2 linked regions of the Drosophila melanogaster genome follow. The gene in region 1 interacts genetically with each later gene. Each region holds a gene or a part of one and is shown on either strand. Other genes may lie near its edges.

The links. Genes that interact genetically often act in the same process or in processes that back each other up.
Region 2: of nudE (region 1) and Lis-1, changing one suppresses a phenotype caused by changing the other (phenotypic suppression), as found in Drosophila melanogaster (one study listed by BioGRID).

The regions. Positions count from the first base shown.
Region 1 is NT_037436.4:9,896,107-9,903,740, reverse strand, and holds nudE (nudE), read right to left. Parts: upstream 4,501-7,634; 5' UTR 4,386-4,500; exon of another isoform or gene 4,354-4,385; intron 4,016-4,353; 5' UTR 3,737-4,015; coding exon 3,657-3,736; intron 3,589-3,656; coding exon 3,435-3,588; intron 3,319-3,434; coding exon 3,045-3,318; intron 2,981-3,044; coding exon 2,723-2,980; coding exon of another isoform or gene 2,637-2,722; exon of another isoform or gene 2,544-2,636; intron 2,399-2,543; coding exon 2,307-2,398; intron 2,181-2,306; coding exon 1,905-2,180; 3' UTR 1,829-1,904; downstream 1-1,828. Other genes in the region: CG46387 (uncharacterized protein), read right to left, coding at 4,573-5,010; CG6707 (uncharacterized protein), read left to right, coding at 5,686-5,812, 7,106-7,287, 7,353-7,562, 7,619-7,634. UniProt on the Drosophila melanogaster protein: Chaperone protein with functions in nuclear localization. Required for centrosome duplication and formation and function of the mitotic spindle.
Region 2 is NT_033778.4:16,177,036-16,186,096, forward strand, and holds Lis-1 (Lissencephaly-1), read left to right. Parts: upstream 1-1,790; 5' UTR 1,791-1,917; intron 1,918-2,297; exon of another isoform or gene 2,298-2,337; intron 2,338-4,213; exon of another isoform or gene 4,214-4,770; intron 4,771-4,945; 5' UTR 4,946-5,017; coding exon 5,018-5,055; intron 5,056-5,122; coding exon 5,123-5,423; intron 5,424-5,481; coding exon 5,482-5,638; intron 5,639-5,701; coding exon 5,702-5,879; intron 5,880-5,947; coding exon 5,948-6,083; intron 6,084-6,150; coding exon 6,151-6,502; intron 6,503-6,567; coding exon 6,568-6,641; 3' UTR 6,642-8,068; downstream 8,069-9,061. Other genes in the region: CG8441 (uncharacterized protein), read right to left, coding at 8,129-8,716, 8,777-8,950. UniProt on the Drosophila melanogaster protein: Positively regulates the activity of the minus-end directed microtubule motor protein dynein. May enhance dynein-mediated microtubule sliding by targeting dynein to the microtubule plus end.

The DNA of each region.
Region 1 (7,634 bases):
CCGAATTGTTTTTCGGTGCACTCATGCAGGACTGGCTTTGTGTCTGCTCACTTTTATTTCAAACGGCAATTGCATTGTGCCATTCCCAATCCGCTTATGGCCACTGCCACGCCCCCTGGACAACCACCTAGACCGCCCATACCGCCCACGGGAGCAAACAATGCACTCAGCAGCAAACAAGAGCAACAGCAACACCAGGCAGGTCCAGGAAAGTCCATCCCTTTTTGCCCTGGTAAGTGCTATGCGTATGATAAAAGCTTGTGTCATATTTTCATTTTTCACTTCACTTTTCCCTCGCTGCATTTGCTGTGGCGGATTTGGCATCTGGAAAGGAGTTAGTTCTCCAGCCAACCAGCTAGCATGGCTCGCTTAATGCCAAGCACTCGACGACGCTAACCCACCCGGTGCTTACTTATAAAAACCAAAGTACTTTCATTAGCTTACCGCCAACGGGACCTTCTCGCCAGCAAGGTCGGCATCAGATCCAGTTTACTTTGCCCACCATGGAGCACTGTGCGTCCACCAGCCGACTCCATCCACAAACTCAGTGAGCTCAGCATCCTTTTGGTTGGGGCTAAAGCTCCGGGAAAATCCGCAATGAAATGGGTCTAAAACGGGGAAAGTTTCCCCTGCGAAAAGCTCTCGATATGAAAATTCGGCCTTGGCATAGGAATTGACGCAGCATTCAACTTGTGTAATGAACTCAAATATTATTTAAAACTAATTAGTTGCAACACACACGGCATCGACATTGATGTGCTTGTGGATGGTTTCTATTAAACTAATTATTTTGCTCTTTATTCATACATATATATATATATTTTGTTTGCCTGTTCGTTGGAGTTTTGTTATGCTTTATACAGTTTGCCGTTAGCAATATTTTGCATTTTTACAAATTTATATTCGCTGGTAAATATAAACAGAAAATAGCTCTGGGGATAGTTACAATATAACTAGATGATCGTTTCGATAATTTTAATAATTTTTTTTCCCGGGTTAGATCTTGTCTTTTTCCTAAACGCTACGAGTATTGGTTGTCCGCTTGAAGTATAATACTTGGACAGAGCTTCTTCGCTTGTTTTGCTGGTTGATCAACTTTGAACTTAGTCGCTAAACACATTGTATGCCAAAACAATTGCGTTCGAGTTAACAATTCAAGTCAAAAGTGAACCGAGTGGGTACTTATAGCTTAGGTATACACTTAATTCGTACTAAGGCATGTTATATATGTTGGGCTCGAAACAACAACATCAACTGTTGTGTAATTCATAATATCGCAAGTGGTTTATACAAAGTCATTTTAGTTCAAATAAATAAAGAGGCAGCAGAAACTTAATTAATGCGAACAGTAACATTAAAGTAACGTAACGTAAACGTAAAGCCAACTGAACAGTATCCCGCCCTAGGTGATTGGGTTTCGGATTTGGGGTTTGTGGATCACGCTGAACTGCAGAATCCACACTACTCGGCATCCAGCGAGAAGCAAGGCAGTCCGGCCAGCGCCGGATGTGTGGATTGCTGGGAGGAGCGGTGTCGCTGCGGCATTGGCTGACCATTCTCGCGGTACGTCTTCAGTTTCGTCTCCATCGCCTAAAAAAAAAACACAAAACGAGAGCGGATTAAGCAACAGTCAGTGAACTATATGAAAAATTAACTATAGAAGGATTTGGGCACATCATATAATAAATAAATTAATGAAAATTTCATTTCGCAACGGTTTGCCCAGTGCAGAGTTTAGTCAGCAAGCCAAGTTATTATGCGCTTTCGAAACTGAATAAATCATAACGAACAAAAACAAAGAACATAAAATAAGGTACAAATAAATTTTGTATTTATTAACCAATGCAATTAATAAATGCAAGCGGAGGGCAACTAAAATTAGCCTTAAAGTTCCGAGCGCATTGTCAGAGCGGCAGGCTGGCGTCCGGCGAGTTTCGCATGCGCTCGGCGAAGCGCCTAAAAATGTTTGAGCCCGCACTGAGGCTTCCGGCGGAGCTGCAATCGCTGGTGGGCGTGGACTGGGCGCTACTGGTGGCCACTGAGCTGCTGCTGCCGCCAAAGGCGCGGCGAAAAAGACTTGCCTCGCTGGCCGATGGCGGCGGCGGCGGCTGCACACTTGCCGGGCGCTCACACATGCAGCGAAACTTTTCGCACTCGGGACATAGCAGTGCCTTGTCCCACTAAAAACATAGGGAAAAACACATAAGCCGATGGTGGGAGTGAAGGGTTCAAGGATCATATGTACATACGAAACAATGGATGAGGTAGGATGGCATGCTGGACTTATAGTTTGCGGAGGGACTTACGTTTAGTTTTCTTAACATGTCGGCCACAATGTTGAGCGCCGTTGTGCGGGAGCTGGGGTTCATGGAATTGCCATTGATTTGATTCTCGGGATCTGCAAGAGGAAGCACACGTACACAGCATGTTAGTCGAGAGGTTAGTTAGGTCAACTACTAGCTACAGACGCAAACACAAATCGTACAAAAATCGCCTACAAGAAATGTTGCAAACTCTTTCGTCACATTTGGGCTCTTAATTTTAATAATTTACAATACAATTACAAATTATGAGGAACTTAAGCGGGCTACATTTTTTGGTTAACAAGTAAAAAAGAAACAAATGGAAAAACAATACTAAATGCATGGCTTGAACGTTTGGCGATTCGTCTTGGACAGTTTTAGCGCGCGTCTGGTTTTCTTTAGGGAACTTAGTATCTTACTCTTAAGCGAATGCTGCTGGTTATATTCGTTTCTATTAACTAAACTGCCATTGAGGGCGTTGACGCTGACGCTGGTGGCTCTTGTGGCGACAGCATTGTCGTGTTTTACCAATTCGCCATTGGCAACAATACCATTTGGCAGCGAGGCGGACGAGTTCATCGAGCTGTTGACCGTATTTGTGTCGTTTGCCGTGGGAACGCTCGTTCCATTGACCACTGGGGTAAAGCGTGACTTGACGTTCAGCTCTTGTTTGAGATCTGCAATAGATTTGATGAATTAGTTTTAAAGTCTGTGCTGGACATCTGGTATAGATGCATCCACCTCTCGTCTCATCCATTAATCGCTGTAGTTTTTCCTGCAGCAATCCCTTTTCATCCACTTCCAGCTCCAGAAGGGCGTTCTTCTCGTAGGCCTGATCCAGCATCTTCTCGAAATTCTCTATGCTTTCGTTAAGTATGCGATGGGCACGTTCCAAATCGTCGTTTTTCTGCTCCAGCTGCCGCAGGTACACCTTCATGGTGTCGCGATCCTTCTTCACCGTTTCCAGCTGTTTCTCCATGTTTGACATATCGATGCCATGCGATTCCAACTTGAGCTGAGAATGAAATAGTTGTAAAGACTAATCTTGTCGGGAGCTCAAAGCCACATATACGCAAACTGAGTCTAAGAATTAAGCTCAGTTTGTGTAAATCGGGCTTAGCTTATAGCTACCTTGAGAGACTCGTTTTCCCGCTCAAACATTGTGAGTTTGGCTGTGAGATCTTTGATTATACTCTGCTTCTGGTCCAGAGTGGCGTCCATTTCTATTTCCATTTCGCGGGACTGCTCCACAAACTCGTCGTACTCCTGTTTCACGTCTGTCCACCTGAAAATTAAAAGTAAAACTAGGCTATATGGCTGATTTCGGAGACTGTAATAGGGATGGGCACTTACTCTTTGTGGTACTGCTTAGATCGTTCCTTCCAATATCTGCACTCATCTTCCACACTATTGAACATCGGGGGCGACTCCATTTCTGCAAATTTTCCTTAGCTGCTAACTCCTTTTTCTGGTTTTTGTGTACTAATCGGCGGTCAAAATGGGTTTGTAATTTCGTTCGTTCGAATTGATTTAACTTTTAATTTCTGAACAATGCTATGTACTACGGTTGGTCTATTACTGTTTGGGTTATTTATTCGTGTTTTTTGGCTGCTTTGTTTTTAATTGCTGTGATTAAAATGCCAAAACACAGTTGTTGTTCAAGTCGTAGTTTTACTTTTTTTTTGTTTTGTGTGTTGGGGGTGGTGAATAGACTAGAAGTCGGCGAAGAAAAGTGAAAAATCAATTAGGAACAGGTGTTTGCCCTGAATTTTGTAGTTACTGTTGCTGTTGTTCTTGTTCGATGCCCTAAAAGGGCAGTCGGTTTTGTCCATATCAAATGTAAATAAAATCAAATTAAACAAAACTCATTTTTGTGACGCAGCTGCTGCGGCAACAACAACGAAAACAACGAGGATGATGGTGATGAGCAGCAGCAACAACAACAACAACAAATAGCTACGACGAAGTTTCCCATACAACAACGCACTGCATGGAAATGAAATCATCGGTGATTTTTTCGTAGAATTCCAGTGTTTATACCTAGAATTTTATACAGCACGACTGTCCACATTTACTACTTACACTTTGCACTTAATTTTGCTACGTTTTGTTTGTTTTATTTACATAAAATCAGTGTAAATAGTTATGCTCGTAAAAATTTACCACTACTCCAAAAACGCACAAGCCAACCCTGGCTTGGGTTGCCAGTGTTGGCCAATAGATGGGCATTTGCCGTTTCCAGCCCTGGTCAACAGTTGTTATTTGAAATTTAATCAACATATAAAGTTTTACTCGGCTTTTTTTTGCGTTTACGTAGTTTTCTTATATATTCCAAATCATATTTCTCTAATGGACGTGCTGTGAACGTTATCGATTTGTTGGCCGGCGCATCGTTGCTGGTATCGTCCGAAATATGAAACTCAGAGTCGGAACTATCTTCAATTATTTGAGCTGAGCTTAGTGTTAAATCACGAGTGGAGCTGGGAGTTTGTGGCAGTGCTGCAACATTTTCGCCAACTACGCGCATGGGCAGCGCATGATAATGATATGATACATTTCGACAGGATTTGCGGCGTAGTTTGTGTTTTCTGCTTGTTTCAAAGTCACTTGAACTTGTGGACGTGTTATCGTCCCCACTATTTGAGCCTTCCCCGCTTACAGAATCCTTATTGTCAATTTTATTGGAGTTTTTCGTGATTTTAGACATATTTGTTTTAAGCCGCGCTGGATTGTTTTGGTTCCAAAAATGAACAATTTTTCGCTGATCTGTTTCTGGTTCTTTACCAAGTACAACGATGTGGCAACTCCCTGGCAGGGCCGCAACTGAAAAATCTCAAACGGGACATCGTTGCCAGATAGCTAGCCAGAGTGTGGCCAGATCGCAGCGACTGCAGTGCATTTTCAACAAAAATAAGGTAAAATATAGCACAATTATGGCCAGCAATTGTTAAACAATTAACGCAATTGCCAGTATTATAACCAAATGTCAACTGTGTGAGTGCGACAATCGAGCTCGCGTGGGCGTTGCACATGCAGCATCATCGAATTGATTAATTGCGGCGCATGCCGAAAAGTGAAAAAAGGGAGGATGTGTTTCAATCAACGCGAGTGAAAACCGCGACGAACGAAGAAAAAAAAAACCAAACTACTGCGGCAATCGTGAACAAAGAGCTCGTTGCGTCCGAAATTATGTGGCACAGCAACTAAACTATTGGATTTCCCACTCATTTTCCAGTTGAAATCAACGCGTTGCAGCAGCCCCCGCAGCAACAGCAACAACAAAACAAAGGCAACTGGAAGTGCAGCCTAACGGGAATTGCTCCAGCATATAGAGATTATAGTCCACACATATAAATATCCATTTATCGGAAGATAGTCCACAATGGCGGATCCAGAGCGACAAAGCCTGATCAACAAGGACGACGGCAATGGCTACAATTCCGTGGACGCCGTGGACGAGGGTGCCGATAATCCCGGCAGCAACTCATCGGTGGCCACAAACGAGGACGGTGCGTATCGTTACTGTAAAGCCGGGCATTCAACCCGCATCCAATCAGCCGGGCGGGCAACCCATTGGAAGCCCAACAAGTGTGCGGGCGCTCCACTTATCCGGATCCAACGCCGTGATTCCGAGTTGTCTGCTCGCCGTCTCATTTGGCATTTTCACACTTCACCCAACTGAGTCATAAATGCGTGTGGTTTGGTGCGGGGGGAGAGCAATGGGACTGCACAGAAAGAAAAACTGATAGGATATGTGGTGCCCAAATGCCATTTTAAATTATCTGCCATTTTTTTATTTTTTAATAGGGCCCAGTATTATTGGTATTACCAAAAATTTACAACCTAATATAAAATTTTCTTATTGGCCTAAATATCAAATGGGCCACGTACACCATAAAAAAAATGTAATTTTATCACGAAATTGTGAAGAGCTGCCAAAAATGTAAAGATCGATTGTAGTTAGTTACTCGACGCCGGTATCGGCAAAATTTTTGCACCGCCTTTGTTATTGTTTATGCTAGGACGCTCGTAATCAGCGCAAAAAGCGTTCCCCACAGCTGTTTAATCAGCATCGATTCGGAGGTGTTGCTATAGTGGTGGTTAAGCGGGGGCAGTCAATGAGTCCATGAGTCATCATGTCATTCGCTGCCTTATCGCAATACAGGGCGAAAATGAGGGTCTGCGATGAGCAGTGGTTCCATTGTTTACCAAGGAACCTGATCTTCAGCTCGGAAAAAGCTTGTCCATATCATTAATATATACAAGAGTTTAGTTACAAGGGCTTTACGACTTTCCATGTTCCCAATTAATTTGCATAGGTTATCTTTCTGTATTCCTTTCTTTTTGACATTATATATTTATTTAGCCAAAGTAATATGACTTTATTTGCAATTTATCCACTTCATATCAATTTTCCTAAAGAGTGTGTGCGATGTTACTCTTTGCGTTGTTTTCATTTAAAAACGTCTTTCACAAAGTTCGAACTTGTTTTGATCGAGAGACGAGAACCACAACTGCGGTCTAGTTGCACTAGTTTAATGCTTGTACGAGAAAGCTGCATTCATAACGCCAAAACATTGACCCATTTGGTTTATCGCAGCTTCCCAGAGCCACACACTGCACACTATCAGAAAATGCAGTTCTCACTCCCTCCATGAGCCAATCACCGCCAGATGAGCAGTGTGGTTGAGCGAACTCTGCTGGCGAGATGTATTTATTCTACACCAAAGGTCTCGCCTTTGAAGGGCATGGGTCTTAACAATATTATAAGTAGTTAATAATACTTTGCAATGGAATTTTAGGCAATGGAGCACCGACCGCAGTGCCTTGCATTGGACCCGATGAGCTGCCGCCGCCGTATCAGCAGAGTACCAACACCGGAGGCGTCCCGATGGTCACCTGTCGGGTATGTCAACACATGATTGACATCACCACGAAGCGGGAGCAGCACGTGGTCAAGTGCACCCACTGCAATGAGGCTACTGTGAGTAATTCTAAGCAGATTCTTTGAATCCAATTGTAACTTAATACGCTTTTGGCTATCAACAGCCCATTCGGAACGCTCCAGCGGGCAAGAAGTATGTTCGCTGCCCATGCAACTGTTTGTTAATCTGCAAGAGCTCGTCGCAGCGAATCGCTTGTCCAAGGCCCAATTGCAAGAGGATCATCAACCTGGCCCCAAGTCCCGTCACCCCGCCCGTGCCAACCATGCCGGGCATGTGCCGCGTCACTTGTGGCCACTGTTCGGACACGTTTTTGGTGAGTTATTAATCCAAATCACAGCAGCAGGAGTCTTGTAACGCTTGCTCTTACAGTTCAACACGTATCACA
Region 2 (9,061 bases), on another chromosome or scaffold:
ACAAATACCACACGTAAGTGGAAAATGTAAAAAAATAAACGAAATGGTCGAGATACCAAAAAAAAAAAATAAAAAGGGGGTTATCTCAATGTCGTGGCTTACACCCAAAGCCTTTTAATGCGGCGGAAATTCATGAGAATGAAGTTGGAAACTCCAGCAATGTCATGTCGCAATATTCTCTGAATTTTTTGTTGGATTTTTTGGATCCCTAGAATCTTATCAAGCCACTTCACAGGCTGGAGAAGTGGCCAGCAGATATAGATACAGATAGTAATCTGGCTTGTTGGACAACCCAATAATAATCGAACAAAATTAACGACAGATTCGCTAAAATCGCAGAGAATCGCCGACGACGATCCTCGAATTCGAATCGCGGCTCTGTTTGCAATCCCATCACGCAGTCGCAAATGGAATGGGTATAGCAATAGATATATAGATATAGATATATAGACTATATTGCCGATATGCTGAGTGCGTCATCGAAGAGCTTGCTAATCGAAAGAATTCCGTACCCTCAAATTGGCAGCACTAATTACTAATTTCAGTTGTCGCTGCCGGCAACGGAAGCAAGCGAAGAAGACAGCTCTTCTTTGGAGCAAATAAAAAAAATGACACTTTCCGATCATTATTAATGGGTTTGGTTATCAGAAAGTGTGGCAATGGAACGTTGACAATTTGCCAATGTCTGTGCCCGATTGTTTAAACAAATCGCAGCGCGCCGAGGTTTTCCAAAACACCAAGTAAGCCAATAATAACAATTTAACGTTTACAAACGAACAAGCGGCCTTTATCATCGGCATATAATCATCAGAGTTGTCGGTCTGATAACAGCCATACGGTGCTGGCTCATAAATGGCTTTCGATTTCGCCAGTTAAACGCTAATGTGGCCAAGAGGATCGGCTACCGCAGGATTAGCAAGCATTGCTAAACTGAATCATATTTAACATATATCTATAGAGCCATAGAATTGGCTGATATAGCGGCTATATCGATATAATGTAATGCGTACAAAATGGCTGATTAAATCTCAAACACTGATAACACACAACGAGTGCCCAAATTTGGCAAATGATTTACATTATTCGGCAATTTTCCCAATGAGCGATTGAGATTGTGTACGATACGCTGCACTCACAGGTGACAGATGGTTGCTAATTGTTGTTGCTGTTTCGCGAATATTTGGGCGCACCAACTATGAATAACGAATGTGTGTGTGTCGCCCGAAAATCAGTAAACTAATAACCGTTTCCGCTGAGCGATTCTCGAATACTGAGCGCCAAAGGGAGCACTCCATAAATCGGTTGTGTTGTGTTCTGGCGCTGTGTGAGCGGTGATAAGGAAAGTTTACTCCCATCGCGAATGTGTGTGTAAGATAACAACAAAGTCGGTTTACAATTAGCAAACTGCAGTGTTGACTATCGAATTGGGATGTGTTATAAATAAATAGCAATACTTATATGGCATAAATAATTGGAAACCCATTTTGTTCACTCACGGATAGGCGTTGTGGTTCCGCAAAAAAAAAGCTGACGAAGGTCCATTTCCTTATCAGCATTTTAAATAGCGCGCCAATTTTTTAAGCTGTTCACACTGCGCTTGCATGGAAGTAGGGCTTAAGTTATGGCAACTCGTTCTTTACTCAATGGTTTCAGTCCTTAGGTCTTATATAAGATATAAAAAGTATTTAGAAGTTATTATACATATTTTTATTAACATTTTTCTACATTCCTAGTCACATCGATAGCTAATCGCTGTCATCGATAGTCCCGTGATGTTTTTTGAGCTGCTTCCACTGCGGTCACACTAATCGAAGCATTTTCGTCCGCTCGTCACTTTTCTGCGTAATTCTTTTCGTATATTTCGATTAAACATAAATAAATAAGCGTAATTATAAATATATGAAATACTAAATTGTTGTAAGTAACGTTCGCTGCATAATAAGAACAAACACCGAGTCGCCGCGTTGTAAATAGAACACCCAAGCAAAATGGATTTTTCGCAACCAACCCGTGTAATGGGCTATTGGGAGAAATGAAGAAAAAAAAACGTCATATGTACAAAACTGCCAATGGCAAAGTGTTAGTTCGCGCATTATGTACCAAGCATGTCGGTTGGAGTCGGAAAATATAATATACTATATGTGCGCTTGGATATTTGTCCTTTTTCCCCATTATGCATATTGCCTTTGGGACATTTCTTTCTCTTGGCCCCCTCTCTCTATCCAAGATGGCCGTCGTAACAGTATTTTCGTTCAAACTGTTGTTGTTATTGTGTTTGTTATTGAAAAGAGAATGAAAAAACAAGCGAAAGAGTTATGCAAATTATGCACAAAAAAAGTAGTGTGTTGAACAAAAAGACGATCAGTAAATAAGTGGAGAAACGAACTATGATTACATTTTATTTACAACCACCAGAAAGCGATGACACATCGAGTGCGTTGGTGTGCGTGCGCGAGTGTGTGTGTGTGTGCGAGTGACGATGTCTGTGGATTTTCGCGCATGTTTGGAGTCCTCCCCCTCGCCAAAAGTAGAATTGATCGATTTTTAGCCAAGTCGAGTCCCCGAACTGGCCGATTCCTTGCATATATGTACTTCCCGTTCCCCCATAGGCCAACAACACCTATTACTGGGCAAACCAGTTCTGCCAATGCACAAGAAATCTCGTTTTATTTTCTTCGTTGTGCTTGTGTAGTTGTTTTTGTTTTTTTTTTACAGTTTTCCGTTTTGGGCTTTTTTGCTGCGGCATTCTTTTAGATATTCAAGACCCGTTGCGATTTCCCAGAATGTGTGGAAAGCGCTCCTGACACTGCAAATTGTTTCTATTATCTAGTGACGAGCTTTTTGCACGTTTCCAGCAGTGGGTTAAAGAAAGGCAAAGCAAAAAGTCTCGGCACTTAACGGTTAGTCCCTGCATTCGATGCCCGTCGTGGGGTTAAAGCTGGAGTTCAAAGCTTTTTTGGCTATTGTTTTCCTTTTTCCTCTCTCTTTTTGCACTTGAAATTGCAATTGCATTTGCTCGCCGGCGCGTGTGTGAGTGTGTGCTAATCAATGAAACACGCAAATAAACAAGCAAAGGCAAGTGCAAGGTCTGTTTGCCAGAGCGGGAGAGAGAGAATAAGCAAGCGAATTCAAACGAAAGGGGGAGTGAGAGGAAGAGAAAGATCCTTAAAATTCAAGACCTTACTGTGTGTGTGTGTGTGTTCGTTGCAGCCCTGGTCTATGCCCCTTGCCAACTATCTCGCTCTCACGCCCACCCAAAACCATTTAAAATTCAAATATTAAATTAACTTGAGCAAGTGCAACAATGAGAATCCCATATGATTTTTACTGATTTAGTAACATTTCTGGTGTGGCGTGCGACCCAAACGCCCCCTTCCCATTGTTTTCATTCCCCCATATGGCACACACCCACAGCTTTACGGTTACAATGCGCATGGCTTTGTGTTTCGGAATGCCTGGTTGCCACAACACAAACAGTGTTGACTTCGTTCGATGGTTTAAGGGACCCCCCACTATCTTAACCCCACTTTGCTGCCCACGCTCCACTTTTCCATTAATACCCGTGACGCTCGCAACGCTTTTCATCGATTTTCCTGGGATATATTTAGATGCGCAGTTAGAGCGCAGCCAAACATCCACCCACAATATTCAAATGATGAGCGCCAAGTGCTCGAATACAGCTGATAAGCCCTATAGGAGTAGTTCAAGTCGCGTCCAGCCGAATGACTCACGGCTATATTGAGTGGCCGTTTCGAATCGGATTCGGCTGTGAACCCGTTTGGTCAGTTTTTGCTTGTCTTTTTTTTTTGCCATATTTGCTAGTTCAAAAAAATCGTTAAATATCATTTGGCCAAAAATAATTTGGAAACGTCATTTCCTAGACCGTGATGTGTGAGCGTGTCTCTCACAGGTGGGGCCATGAAATTAGTAATGAATTCGAGATATTTAGGTCTTGTTTATGTTTTCATAACACCTATTAATTTAATGATCATATAGCCAATAACTATTTAGCACAAATAAAAGAAACAGCTGAATTAGTTTTTATGCTATCAATTGCACCTCTGGTGCCCGTGTTTGTTCTGCTTCTTCGCTCGCACGCTCTTTCGCAGCCTTATTTACCTATAAGAAGTTGCTTGAACTACCGTTAAGTCTGGCTAATTGGCTTTGCCTTGTCGTGGATTTTCCTTCGCTAGTATATTCGTTGGCAACGCGTCAGTTGTCCATCGTTATCAAGTACGCGAGATATGCGTTAGCTATTTGTTTCCGATTGCTGTTGTTATATTGCGTGCTATACCCATGATTTGGCCACCTTGAGTTGATTAAAAAGGTTTTGCAGTCAAAAAAACATGGGCACTAAACAAACAAATAGCGCACCCATATGATTTCTGCCTAATTCCATGTGAAATCGACCCTTGAACTCACCGATGACGAGTGCAGTTCGATTGCAGGGGTTACCAAATGCTGCTGCTGCTTCGCTTCAAGCATTGCCAAAGTTTCGATTATTATTTTTTTTTTGCCCACTTATTCGAGGCACGGGCAACACAAAAATGTGTGCCAGAAACCAAAGACACGATGATAATGATGATGCTCCGCTTTGGGAGAATGAAACAATATAATGACTAGACGAAAGGTGAGCATAGGAAACAGAAATACTGCTGCCAAAAAAATTCAAGAAAATGTGGGTGACTCGCCTGCCCTCCATGAGAACTCAAACGAAACTTGCTGGCATTTTTGGCATTTAGGTTTTGCGAAACCAATTTCCTGTCCCAGGTACATCAAATCATCATATGATTATACAGTAGAAGTTCGATAGATGAACCAAAAATTATACATAACTCTGTCTAACGAAATGGTTTGCAAGATATGTATATAGGAAATATATCTTGTATCTGACTGTGGTAAGAACTGCTGTACACATATTGAATGTCTACCTTTTCCATTGCAGAATTGCAAGAGTTGAAGGCGGATAACCGAATTGCGAACGAGAGAAGCAAAACAAGCCAAATCGGAAAACAGTATGAAAATGGTGTTGTCGCAGCGGCAGCGCGAGGAGCTGTAAGTCCCAGTCGTCTTATATAACTATTACCCCATGAACTAATCCTTTTAATTGTATCGCCATCAGTAACCAAGCGATTGCCGATTATCTGGGCTCAAATGGCTACGCCGACTCATTGGAGACCTTCCGCAAGGAGGCCGATCTCAGCACAGAAGTGGAAAAGAAATTTGGCGGACTGTTGGAAAAGAAGTGGACGTCCGTGATTCGGCTGCAGAAGAAAGTGATGGAACTAGAGGCTAAGCTCACTGAAGCTGAGAAGGAGGTCATCGAGGGGGCGCCCACAAAGAACAAACGGACGCCTGGCGAGTGGATACCTCGGCCGCCAGAGAAGTTCTCCCTGACCGGTCATCGTGCCAGCATAACGAGGGTAAGTTGAGAAGTTAACAAATTAATAAACATTTTACATTTACATTTTATAATTGCAGGTAATTTTCCACCCCATCTTTGCTCTTATGGTTTCCGCATCCGAAGACGCCACCATTAGGATTTGGGACTTCGAAACTGGCGAGTACGAACGCAGCCTGAAGGGACACACGGACTCTGTGCAGGATGTCGCATTTGATGCCCAGGGCAAGCTTTTGGGTAAGATCTTGCCATAGTTGAATATATAGTAAAACCAATTTAATTTTGCTTTAATTGCAACAGCCTCCTGCAGCGCGGACTTATCCATCAAATTGTGGGATTTCCAGCAGAGCTACGAGTGTATCAAAACTATGCATGGTCACGATCACAATGTCTCGTCGGTGGCCTTTGTGCCGGCCGGAGATTATGTACTCTCTGCATCCCGGGACCGCACTATTAAAATGTGGGAGGTGGCCACAGGGTGAGTTAAAGAAAAAGGACATTTCGTTTAAGGGATAATATGACCAACATGTGACTTCTCATCCTCAGCTACTGTGTGAAAACCTACACAGGCCATCGAGAGTGGGTGCGAATGGTGCGAGTGCACATCGAAGGCAGCATCTTTGCCACATGCTCAAATGATCAGACAATACGTGTTTGGTTGACGAATTCAAAAGACTGCAAGGTGAGCATTGCCATGTGCAGCTTCTGCTGGCAATGAAGAGTCTAACGACGGTTTGATTCTTCTGCAGGTTGAATTACGCGATCATGAGCATACTGTGGAGTGCATTGCCTGGGCGCCGGAAGCCGCAGCCTCTGCGATAAACGAGGCAGCCGGAGCAGACAACAAGAAGGGCCATCACCAGGGCCCGTTCCTGGCCTCCGGCTCTCGCGACAAAACCATTCGCATTTGGGACGTGAGCGTCGGCCTGTGCCTGCTTACCCTGAGTGGCCATGACAATTGGGTGCGTGGCCTGGCATTCCATCCTGGTGGCAAATACTTGGTGTCGGCCAGCGATGACAAGACCATTCGGGTGTGGGACTTGCGCAACAAGCGATGCATGAAGACGCTATACGCGCATCAGCATTTCTGCACCTCCATAGGTGGGTCCACACAAGGCATTGTGTGTATGAACTATATATTTTAATTGTCATCCGTTTTCTTGCAGATTTTCACAAAGCGCATCCGTACGTAATTAGCGGTAGCGTAGATCAAACAGTAAAGGTCTGGGAATGTCGTTAAATTAAGGAAGAATCGGCAAGGGTTCTGCTTACTTCTCAATTTAAACATAAATAAAGCTAATATATTAAATCACATACCCACACAACACGCCCATACACGAGCAGTCTCGGCCACCTCCGCGGAAGTTTATTTTCCAGACGCTTTCTGTGTCAGCGTAAAATGAACATATTGTATTTTAAAACTGAATGAAACTGGCGAAAACGAATTATTTATTTAATTGTACGACCTTCTAACTAAACTAACTACCTACCTACTATACAAAGTACATAAACAAAATGCCCAAAAAATACATACATACGATTATCGTTTAAAGTTAATGCCGCCCTCCTTTATAAACCAGCATTGGCTCGCTAAGCAAACGGGCATCCTAACTTGAATTTGTCGTAGAATTCGATGAGAATGGAACGTATTTACAATGGTAAACTGTATTTCATTCGACGGCTAATACCATGTGTACCATGTGGCGCAGAAATGTTTTTCCATCCACAAATGTACCCGAGCACTCGCACTCACTTGAAAAAAATTCAATGACGTTGATGTGTTTTAGTGTTTGCAAAATGTATGCATAATAATAGCTAAATTCACTGGAAAATTTATATAAGCAAGGAAGTATTTCAACATCTAAGAAAACTTGTACTCACAAAGAGAAGTTTGTTAATGAGAATTACTTGGAGAGGAGTGCAACATGCTTTTTATCATAATTGAGGTAGTTTTAACGATAACAGTTTGCTTCTTTTAACCATATTCACTTTACACAATTCCTGTTTTGTGTTCTTTTTCGCGAAAGGATCTTCAACAAAAACAAATACCTTTCAAAATGCTTACAAATTTAAGTTGGCTTTAAGTTCAAAATATAATTTACTTTTACGGTTTACATAGTAGAAAAATGCTGCAAATTTATTTGTAATTGTTTATTTAAGAGCAACGGCAAAAAATATACCTATATATAAATATACTATAAATAATTATTTGTGCAAAACCGAGAAATCATATAGATGTATCTGAGAAAACAAAAACAAAACGCAGAAAAATCCAACAATTAGAAGAAACGATTTTTCGGATTCAAAGAAATCTAATTATTGAAAACAATAAAAACTTGCTTCTTCAAGAAACCAGAAAAAAATATGTTTATACCCAGAACTAAAAATGGTGGATTTCTGTCAAGGGTATAATTAATGTATTGCCTGCGATGTCAAATTTTGAAAGCATTTATTATACTCAAAAATGCAACATTTGATGCACCTTATAAATGTAAGACAACAAAAAACAAAATGCGCACTAAAGCCACGACAACTCAATGCATAATTCGCAAAACGCTTTCTTCTCAACCAAGCTGCTTTAGAAAGATGGCCTCAGATGAAAACCCCTAGATACTGGCGATGTATAGAAATCGCTTAATATATATATATTACAAAAGTACTATAAATAAAACCGCACTGTGTTTTATTACTCTAAACGGTTTATTGATAGGAATAGAACAGGAGGTACTAAGGCACAGGCTTGTCTTGTTCTTGATCCACATTTTGGGATTCCTTTGTAGCTTCGGTGCTATCTAATTCCACTGCATTTGTGTCCTCTGCGCTTTTCGCTTCTGTATTTGAATTCACTGCCTCTTCATTCGAAGTTTCTTGGGTGTTATTGTCGTCGGATTCCTTGGATGCCACCTGTTGTCCTTCCTCAGGGCTACTTTCTGCCTTTTCTTCTGTGGGCTCTTCCTCGGAATCTGTGTTACTATCCTCTGAGGCTTCCTTAGCCAGTGGCTTCTTGTCCTCTCTCGGCTTTTTCGCCCTCTGTTTTCTCTTCAACCGTTTGGCTCGTTTCTTAGCAGTCTTTTCTTCGGCCGCGCGTCTGTTGTCGTCCAACTTCTGCTGGTAAGCTTCATCTGCTGCTTCGCGGGCACTCTGGTTCTGGATGTTCTTCTGGCGGGCGTACTCCTTGCGTCGCAAGTGGCGGTACACATGGAACTCGCCGGAACCCGCTCCAGCACTGCTTCCCATCACATTCCGCACGAACGTGGGCACCGAGGACATGAAGTCCCGTTCGCGACGCTGCTCCGGTATGACCACGGGCTTATCCTGGCAATAAAAGGTTTATTAATATGAATGTCCACCCAGCTTTCCAATGCAAACACATACCGGATTCTTCATGAGCTTCTCCAGCTTCAGCCTCTGTAGATCTGTCGCGGTTTTGATGAACGGCCGCAGAGGCTTGTCCTTCTCATCGGAATCGCTTTCTCCAGATCCCGCATTCTTTTTCTTTTTCTTTGCCTTCTGTTCGGGCTCTTTTACCAAATTCTTTATAAGCGACATGTTTGTTTGGTTAAAAACAGTATTTTATGTGTGGCTGTATTACAAGTCGTAAAAAATACACACCGAATTAAAAAAAAAACTTAACGGGGACTATGCTTGATCTGTAAAATT